Linked DNA regions of Mus musculus. The protein of the gene in region 2 purifies or fractionates together with the protein of the main gene of each other region. This does not show direct contact. Links are inferred from orthologs where the notes say so. Each region holds a gene or a part of one and is shown on either strand. Other genes may lie near its edges.

What was found. Proteins that work in one complex are often made in the same cells at the same time.
Region 1: the proteins of Slc38a9 (region 2) and Lamtor5 purify together in Homo sapiens (co-immunoprecipitation; 5 studies listed by BioGRID and IntAct, with this or other methods). This does not show direct contact. The link is inferred for Mus musculus from reciprocal best matches to the Homo sapiens genes SLC38A9 and LAMTOR5.

Annotation. Positions count from the first base shown.
Region 1 is NC_000069.6:107,277,491-107,281,713, reverse strand, and holds the start of Lamtor5 (ragulator complex protein LAMTOR5), read right to left. Parts: upstream 2,857-4,223; 5' UTR 2,798-2,856; coding exon 2,601-2,797; intron 1,845-2,600; coding exon 1,783-1,844; intron 1-1,782. UniProt on the Homo sapiens protein: As part of the Ragulator complex it is involved in amino acid sensing and activation of mTORC1, a signaling complex promoting cell growth in response to growth factors, energy levels, and amino acids.
Region 2 is NC_000079.6:112,684,759-112,688,404, reverse strand, and holds part of Slc38a9 (sodium-coupled neutral amino acid transporter 9), read right to left. Parts: exon of another isoform or gene 2,429-3,646; coding exon of another isoform or gene 2,340-2,428; coding exon 2,207-2,339; intron 1-2,206.

The DNA of each region.
Region 1 (4,223 bases), on a different chromosome or scaffold from region 2:
GCAAAGTCGTAAACGACATGTAGTTTTCAGAGTTATTCCCCTCACTATCTCTAAACACCTTCTCAAGCATATAAGGAAGCTGTAATTCAAGTCATCTGATGGTAGTAACTATTTTATAGGAACCTTGCTGAAACCAAGAAATTCAAAGGCGAGAGTGACAAAAAGCATTCAGTATGGATAAGGGGCTTGTTGATGCTAATTAATTCCTTATGGGAAATCTGAGTTTCTCTTCCTATGCTCAATCTCAAAGAAGCAGCCATTACTCAGAAGTCCAGTTGTAAGATCACCTTGCCAGCATATGTGAAGACCTGTGAGCAACTATTTCTGCTAGCAGAAGCTAGCTGGGCTCCTTTCAAATGTCCCCCGAGTCTTTACTATTACTTTGACTTGTATTAACTAAATCAGGCTCTAGGCACAAAAGGTAACCACCAAGCTTATTATAGATCCCTGAAATAAAGGGGTTTACTTACACCTAAAACTAAGGTAGTAGACAATATAACCTGGCAGAAATTCTGGATTGACTATTACTACATAAAAAATCCGTAGGCCAAAGTGCAGCCCGGAAATCTATTGGAAATAGCAACTTCGCACCTTGAAGGTTTTACTTAGTTTTTTTTTTTCCTCCACATTTGCATTTAAAGAGTTTTCATTAGTAACTTGGCAAATGCTTCAAAAAAATTTACCTTTGTTCCAAATGGCTGCTTTTTGTATAAGACATAACTATATTACTTTTGTCAGGTATCATACCAGCAAAAGATCAGAGCTCTAAAAAACCTGCATCAGTTATAAGGATTCTTGGGTTTACTAGTTTCTGACATTAATTAACTTTAGCTATTTACCTTTCTGGACTTAGTTCCTTATCTGTAATTGCTACAATTTATTGAACACCACACAAACACATCTTGGTTCTGTACTGGGTGTTTTAAGCTTTGGAGCCAGCTTTAAAAACATCCTATCTCAACCATTCATTAGGTGTTTGACCCTGGGCAAGGTACTTTTAAGCTTGCTAAATTTCTTGACCATAAAGGGCTTTGGTGGGGGGGGGGGGGCAGGAAGGGGGGTTATGTACGTTTTATAATGAAAACACTAAGAATAGTGCCTGGCTGGGCATGGTGATGCACACCTTTGTTCCCAGCATTCAAGGGATAGAGGCAGGCAGATCTCTGTGAGTTACAGGCCAGCATGGTCTACAAAGTTTGTTCCAGGACAGCCAGGGCCACGTAGAATAAGTTTTTAAAAAAAAATGTCTTAAGACAACACACACATAATGTATGTATGAAATAAAATAACCCAATGAAGAAACTGAAGCCCCAAGAGGCTCCTTCTGTTCGGCACTCATGTTGCTAGCAGACAGCATCGGAGAATGGGGTTGAAGTCAGACGTGTCTAACTAGGAAATCCCTATTTTTACTGACAATAACTTACTGTTGAGAGTGGCTGGACTAGCAGCCAGCATCATCCATTTTCAGGGTTATTGAGGCAATTAAGGAAATAGTGTAGCCTGACTGTGCCTGCACAGGGAATGCATTCAGTAAAGATGTCCTTATCTAAAGCCCTTTTCTAGACCACTTAAAATTTATTCAAAACCATTTTAGTAGGAACAGTTGTAGAACTGGGAGGAACATTTCTGCCTTTAAAATGCAACTGAAAGGCTTCAACCATCTACTCTTACTTGGAGATAGTCTCTATGCCCTAAAGGTAACAGGAATAAAAGCTAGAAAATAGTAGCAGTGTAAGTTAAGGCTCTCAGAACTTCAAAGGGAGGCTGGTAGGAGACACTTACAGCCCAGATTAAGTCCTTGTGAATCTGTGCATAGGACTCCAACAATGGATGGATTCTTCATTCTAATTTTGGGAGCACAAGAAAGATGAACCAGATGATGTGAAGAAAATATTTCAAATTACTGTAGTAAAACAGATTTTCTATGCACCGAGTATTAAGCACTTCAAATCAGCCCTTAAATTTTTTCGCCCCCTTTCAGAGGACAAACTGTGAGTTGTTTAAATAAACAAAACAAAACCCAAACCATTTTCTCAGGCACCTCTGCTTCACAAAGACACAAACAAGGCAGTTATCTTTAGGGCTCTGTCCTTGGTATAGAAGCATGCTCTAGGACTGCAACTCCTGAAGACAACTGTTAAATCTCAGTAACGGGAATTGCTCCTGGAGGGGATTAAGAAGCTCAAGGAGGAGGTGTCTTCTTGTAAGCCACTTTACACCTCCCAATTTTAAATTTTACAGAGATAGCTGAAAAACTTTACGGATATATTTACTTCACAAGCGCTGAGCAACTGACGGGCCACAAACGCGGGAAGATGTGCGTGAAAGTGCTTTGGCACTGCGGGGGCTCGATTTAGCACACCCGGGGCATCCTTCCCCAAACTTAATCCGTTTCCCAAACTTCTCAAGAGCTACTCGATTCTGCGAACACGCCTAACGAAACTTTACTACCCAGTAACGAGCGGCCCGGCCGTAGGCAGAAGTCACCCGCTCGCCGCCCCGAGTGCCCCAAACGCTTCCGCAGACACTCGCGGTCCATGCCGCTGTCCCATTCCAGCTCCCCTGTCCGGAGCCCAGGACCGGCCGCACGCACTACTCACGTGTCCTCCAAATGCTGCTCCAAAGTCGCCTCCATCCCGCAGGCTGTCCGCCCCAGGCCAGGACCCCGCAGCAAAACACTTCCTCCTTCACCGCAAACCTCGATCACGTGACTTGACCGAGGCGGGCGCCTGGACGGCGTCTCCAGAGGGACGAAATTCAGCGCGGCGCCGCGTCCGCGCTCTTTACGAAAAGGCATAGCTACTACCACAGGACCAGTGATGGCTGGCTTTCGATTGGGGGTGCTGGGCCTTCAAAGCAATCTGTAGTCGGGCCTCAGGGCCTTTTCCTGACCTAGCACTTGGACTTAGTGATTTTTAACCTTTGGATTTGGTTCAAGCAATTTCCAGTCCTAACCAGACGTAGACCTGGTTTAAATTTTAAAGTAACCAGCAGGTCTGGCATGGTCTCATCTATGCAATAGGCCAATCGCTAAGAAGACAGTGCTCAGTTTCTGACCCTAGGTCAAGAGGCTGAGGTGTATACTTTACCTATCAAAGCAGAACTGGCCTCCAGGTTCTGCATCCCTCAGTTCCCACCTGGCATACCTTGCCCCCAACCCTGAACTTTCCAGCCCAGGGGCTGGGCTGCCCTTCCCTTTCTATAGGGCTCCTTTCTATAGAATCCAGACATTTTGGTCTCCTTCTCCTTTTCTCTCTCTGCACACATTCCCCCTTCTCTCTTTCTTCCTTCCTTTCCCAGGAAACTTCGCTGGCCTTGGTCCTTGGGGCCAGTGAACTCACCCACCGGCTGGCAGCTTCCCAATAAACCTGCCTTTAACATCATCTACTCTGGTTTAAATTGATTCATTTCACCAACATCGGAGGAGAAGTAACCTATCACACAGGGCCGATGGGGAGGGGTGCACACACGGGACTAAAGGAAGAGATGGCACACGTTGAAACCCCAAACTGCGTGCTGGGAAAGTGTCAGAATCTTAACATTGGTACCTTCTTTGTTCTCGTAGGTTGGCCTCGAATTCTCCCACCTTTGTCCTGTGATTTACTGCCATGTGCCATATTTAATTTGCATTGATACTTCTAATAGCTAGGTCATGGGAAGTTTTAGGGGGAAGAAATTAGGTTTAAGTTTTAGGTGTTAGTGAAGACCGTGTATTATTACTTTAAAATAACTGAGCTTTAAAATTTTTATTCCCTTTTCTGTTTTAGAGACAGTATCTCATATACCCCTCATTGCCCTCAAATTTGCAGTGTGTCCGAGGCTGGCCTTGAAGTATTGATCTCTCTGCTTTTACTTCCCAAGTGCTGGGATTACACCAACATGCCTGGGTTTAAAAACTTTAGAATAAACTAACCACTCATAGTCCTACTGTGAAGAGATGATAGTTTGATAAGGATATTTTGGAGACTATCTTTTCCATATGGCTATCTTTGCAAATGTATTATTTGAATTTTTTTTGTTTTTTGTTTTTTGTTTTTTTTTTTTTTTTGTTTTTCGAGACAGGGTTTCTCTGTGTAGCCCTGGCTGTCCTGGAACTCACTCTGTAGAGAAATGTTTTTTAAAAGCAAAATCAATATACATACTATATATACAATTCTGAATTATGTAGCAGGGATTCTTCACAGAATTTATTATAAATACCTTTTCAGGACAGTAAGTTTTTA
Region 2 (3,646 bases):
GTAGGGAAGAATATCCTGAATGCTATGCATGGTGTGGATTCAGGGACAGCTAGTTCTTAGAGACACAGATAAAAACACAGATGAAAATTGTGTTTTTCCTTCTGTTTATTTACTTTTCTCTATGACCTAGACGATATTTCCTTTTCCCATGAGCAAAGAAAAAGTGCAAGACTATGAACGCCCCATCAAGAAGGAAAAACAGTATAGCTGACAAAACGAATGGGAAAAAAAAAAAAAACAAAATAGCAACAACAATAACAAAACAATTCAAATCAAAACTCATAAGGAGCATGGTTCAATACGAGGTAGAAAAATTCTGGTTGTGATCTTACACTGTCCTAACACAAAATGGAAGAATAAACCTATTCCATGTACACCTCACCTAGTCCTGTGCTCTGTGTTGGCCTCTGGGTCTGGCTCGTGCCCGGAAAGATGTGGAGGATGGGGGTGGGAAGAGTGGCAGATGCTGAGGAGGCACGGGGACAGGCAAGATCACAGCGTGGCAGTGGCAGTGGCAGTGGTGTGGGGCAGCATCTCCCTCTGAACATTCTCATGACACACAGGCTCTTGCTGACAGGCAGCCGTGCTTCCCTGGCTCCGGCTAAGCCCTGCACAGTGCCTTTTTGCTAAGCCCTCAGTGACAATGACAAGGCTGCTCTGTAGGCAGGTGCGTTTAGTAGCAAGGACACAGGGGATGCTGGCAGGCAGCTTCCTCCCCTTTCCAGCTTAGAATAATAATAATAATAATAATAATAATAATAATAATAATAATAATAATAATAATAGCATTTCTTCCATAAATGAAGAGCCTTTACTCTATGAGCAGTGATTTATTGTTCTTCTCCAAAACACCCCGTTAGGGAAAGTGACTTGGGGGTTTTTAGAACATGAGTGTGGATGTTTATACAAATTCGTTACAAGTGGAGAGATCAATTAACCTTGGCAACTGGTTAGATGCACTAGTCGTCTCTCTCAGTGCCATCGTTATAACAGAGGGTTATGACTCAGTGTGCGGTGTTGGCTTTACTTCCAGGTAGTGCTGCCCATCCAGCTCCAGATGGTATCTCTGACGCCTGCTTCTAAAAGTACAGCCTCTGGGAGGCTGAATCAGCCTGGGATCTCAAGGCCCGAAGGATTTATATAATTCTATAATGCACTTCACCATCACTACGAATGTAAAGGGCCCGTGGGGCAGGTAAAAATAAAAAAAAAATTAAAACTACGAAAATTGATCCTCCGTATGGCATTTCATAAGTCTTTGCTTTCAATCTTAGAGCCCAGGTATGGTGGTTTGTGCTATAAACCAAGGAGATGAAGTAGGAAGCTCGGGTTTAAAGTCCCTCTCCATACACACAGAGTTGGAGGTCAGCTTGGACTTCATGAGATGCTGCCCAAATAAGCAGAGTCAAGGAGGTCTGCATGCTGACCTCACGCAGCCATTAAGGGGGTGACATCAGACAGCCATGGTCAGGTGGTACCCACTTCTCCTTGGTAGGCATCTAGTGAAGGGCAGAGCTGGTTCCTTTTGGATTCTCAGACCCATTTTAACCAGAGTTTTTAAGCTTTCAAATTTCTGAGTATCTCACATATGATCACCATTATAAGCAACAGATTACTTACATACTTTAAAATTCTAAAATATAAGACAGAATTTAGTCAATCATGACCCATAATGTAAACTAGGCCTTTATTGAATTTGTAGCCTTTTCCTAATAATTTCTTAAATGTTTATAAGACAAAACAATGAACTGTGATACTATGTGACCTGCAATACTAATCAGGAAACTATCAGGTATGTGTATGAACAAATTTGTTTCTTATTCCTATAGAAAATGTATATAAATAATTTTTCTTTGTAGCTTCAAATTTAGAAGTTAAATTTAGAGACTAGCCAGAACCTTATGTTTTTATCTAAGCTGCTATTTCAAAAGCAATTTGTCTTCCTCAGAGCTTTTGGTATCTGAGATAAGAAAAAAATTAAAGCTCCAAGCTATTGTCAAACAGATCGTTCCAAATGTCTCTACTCCAGGGCAGATAAGAATGAACAAGCCTGAAGCACCTATTAACTACTATTGCTTTGACTTTGCATGATGCTATCTTTGGACTCCTCCAGTGAAAAGTTCAACCCCTGGGAGTTGCCCTGGTTTTGGTGTTTACTGTTCATTACAACTGAACTCTAGACAAAAAGCAGAGCTTTGCTCCTTACCAGTGCCTTGTCTGCAGGAGTGGTGAGCCGGCTGTAGTAATGAATCCGCTTGTTCATAGCAGCAGCATGGTCACTAACCCTCTGAATGACATCATTCACATTGACAATGTTGGTAGGCTCTATATAGAAAGGCCTAAAGAAGGGAATATATACTTGACAAAAAACATTCAGGCAAGAATTCTGGAAGTCAGCCATTGTAGAGAATAATCTCCTGTCCTCCATGTGAAGCGGGCGGGCGCACCAAGGAAAGGCATGCGCTTCTCACTTTTGGTGGGAAAAGAAAACGTCACAGGAGAAGCATTATCCTACCCATAAAATACAGTTCTTGTCTCATGATACTTACTTTTACTTTAAACACTCTTGAAGCTTAAGGAAATTTACCAACAGAGGAGAGACAGCAGAAAACACTAGAGAAGTCATTAAAGAGAAATTTGCAAAGGAAAACAAAATGTATCAGCTGTGGGTCTCCAACGATTTAAGTGAGAGAGAAACTGCTTTGATTAGTTTTTTAAAATACTCTGGCACTGAATCAGAGAAATTATAGACCGAATGTCCTTTTACTGAAGAGGGCACTCCACTCCTTCCTCTATAGGCCAAAGTCATTTCCTTTGACAAACATCATGTCCTAAGGACCAGTGACCTCAACCTCTCTCTTTGTGTGGGGATCCAAACTGGGTCAAATGGAACATGGCAGCACCGGAGAGCTTTGCCTCATGGACTTTCCTTGGATCCTGGTAACGTACTCTAATGTCCTAATATTTATGTTCGTGTCCTTCCTCACTATGTCCTGATGAACTGCAGACTCTAGCTTTCAACCATCATCTCCAGTCAGCCCTTCAGCGCCATCTGAACCTCCCTCAGGTGTTTTCTAACTTTCCCAGAACGAGCACTCCAAAATGGAGAGACAAGGGAGAATCGCATGGCTCCGCCAAGTCTCAGCCTCTTAGAAGCAGGAAACAGCGCTGTGCCCCAAACTGTGGCTGTTACTCTTACACATTGGTAAAAACAATGGGAAAACAAAAGAAAACAAACCCCCAAGAAAGTTTCATTTCTGCTACTTTTCTAACAAACTCTGATACCTAAGAAACGGTAGTTGAGTTTAGCCTTCTAACTGACATACAGAACATTTGAGTCACTTGCTATTTATTCTCCATGACAACATTCAAATATAGTAGGTATCAACTAGTCAATTTCATGAATAGTAACAAGAGCATTTATAAAAGTAAAGCCATGGGCAGAGAGATCAACATAGCATATCAAACATACTGGCAAATGCATTAAGTGCTATTAATAAATTATAAGGGGGATATAGTAAAAATGAGTGGGCCAGAGGCTAAACAATCACTACATATATATTTGGCAGCCTAATATAACCACCAATCTCTCAAAAGTGTTACGATATGATGTATTATTTCTACTTCTACCATGATAGTGATTCTT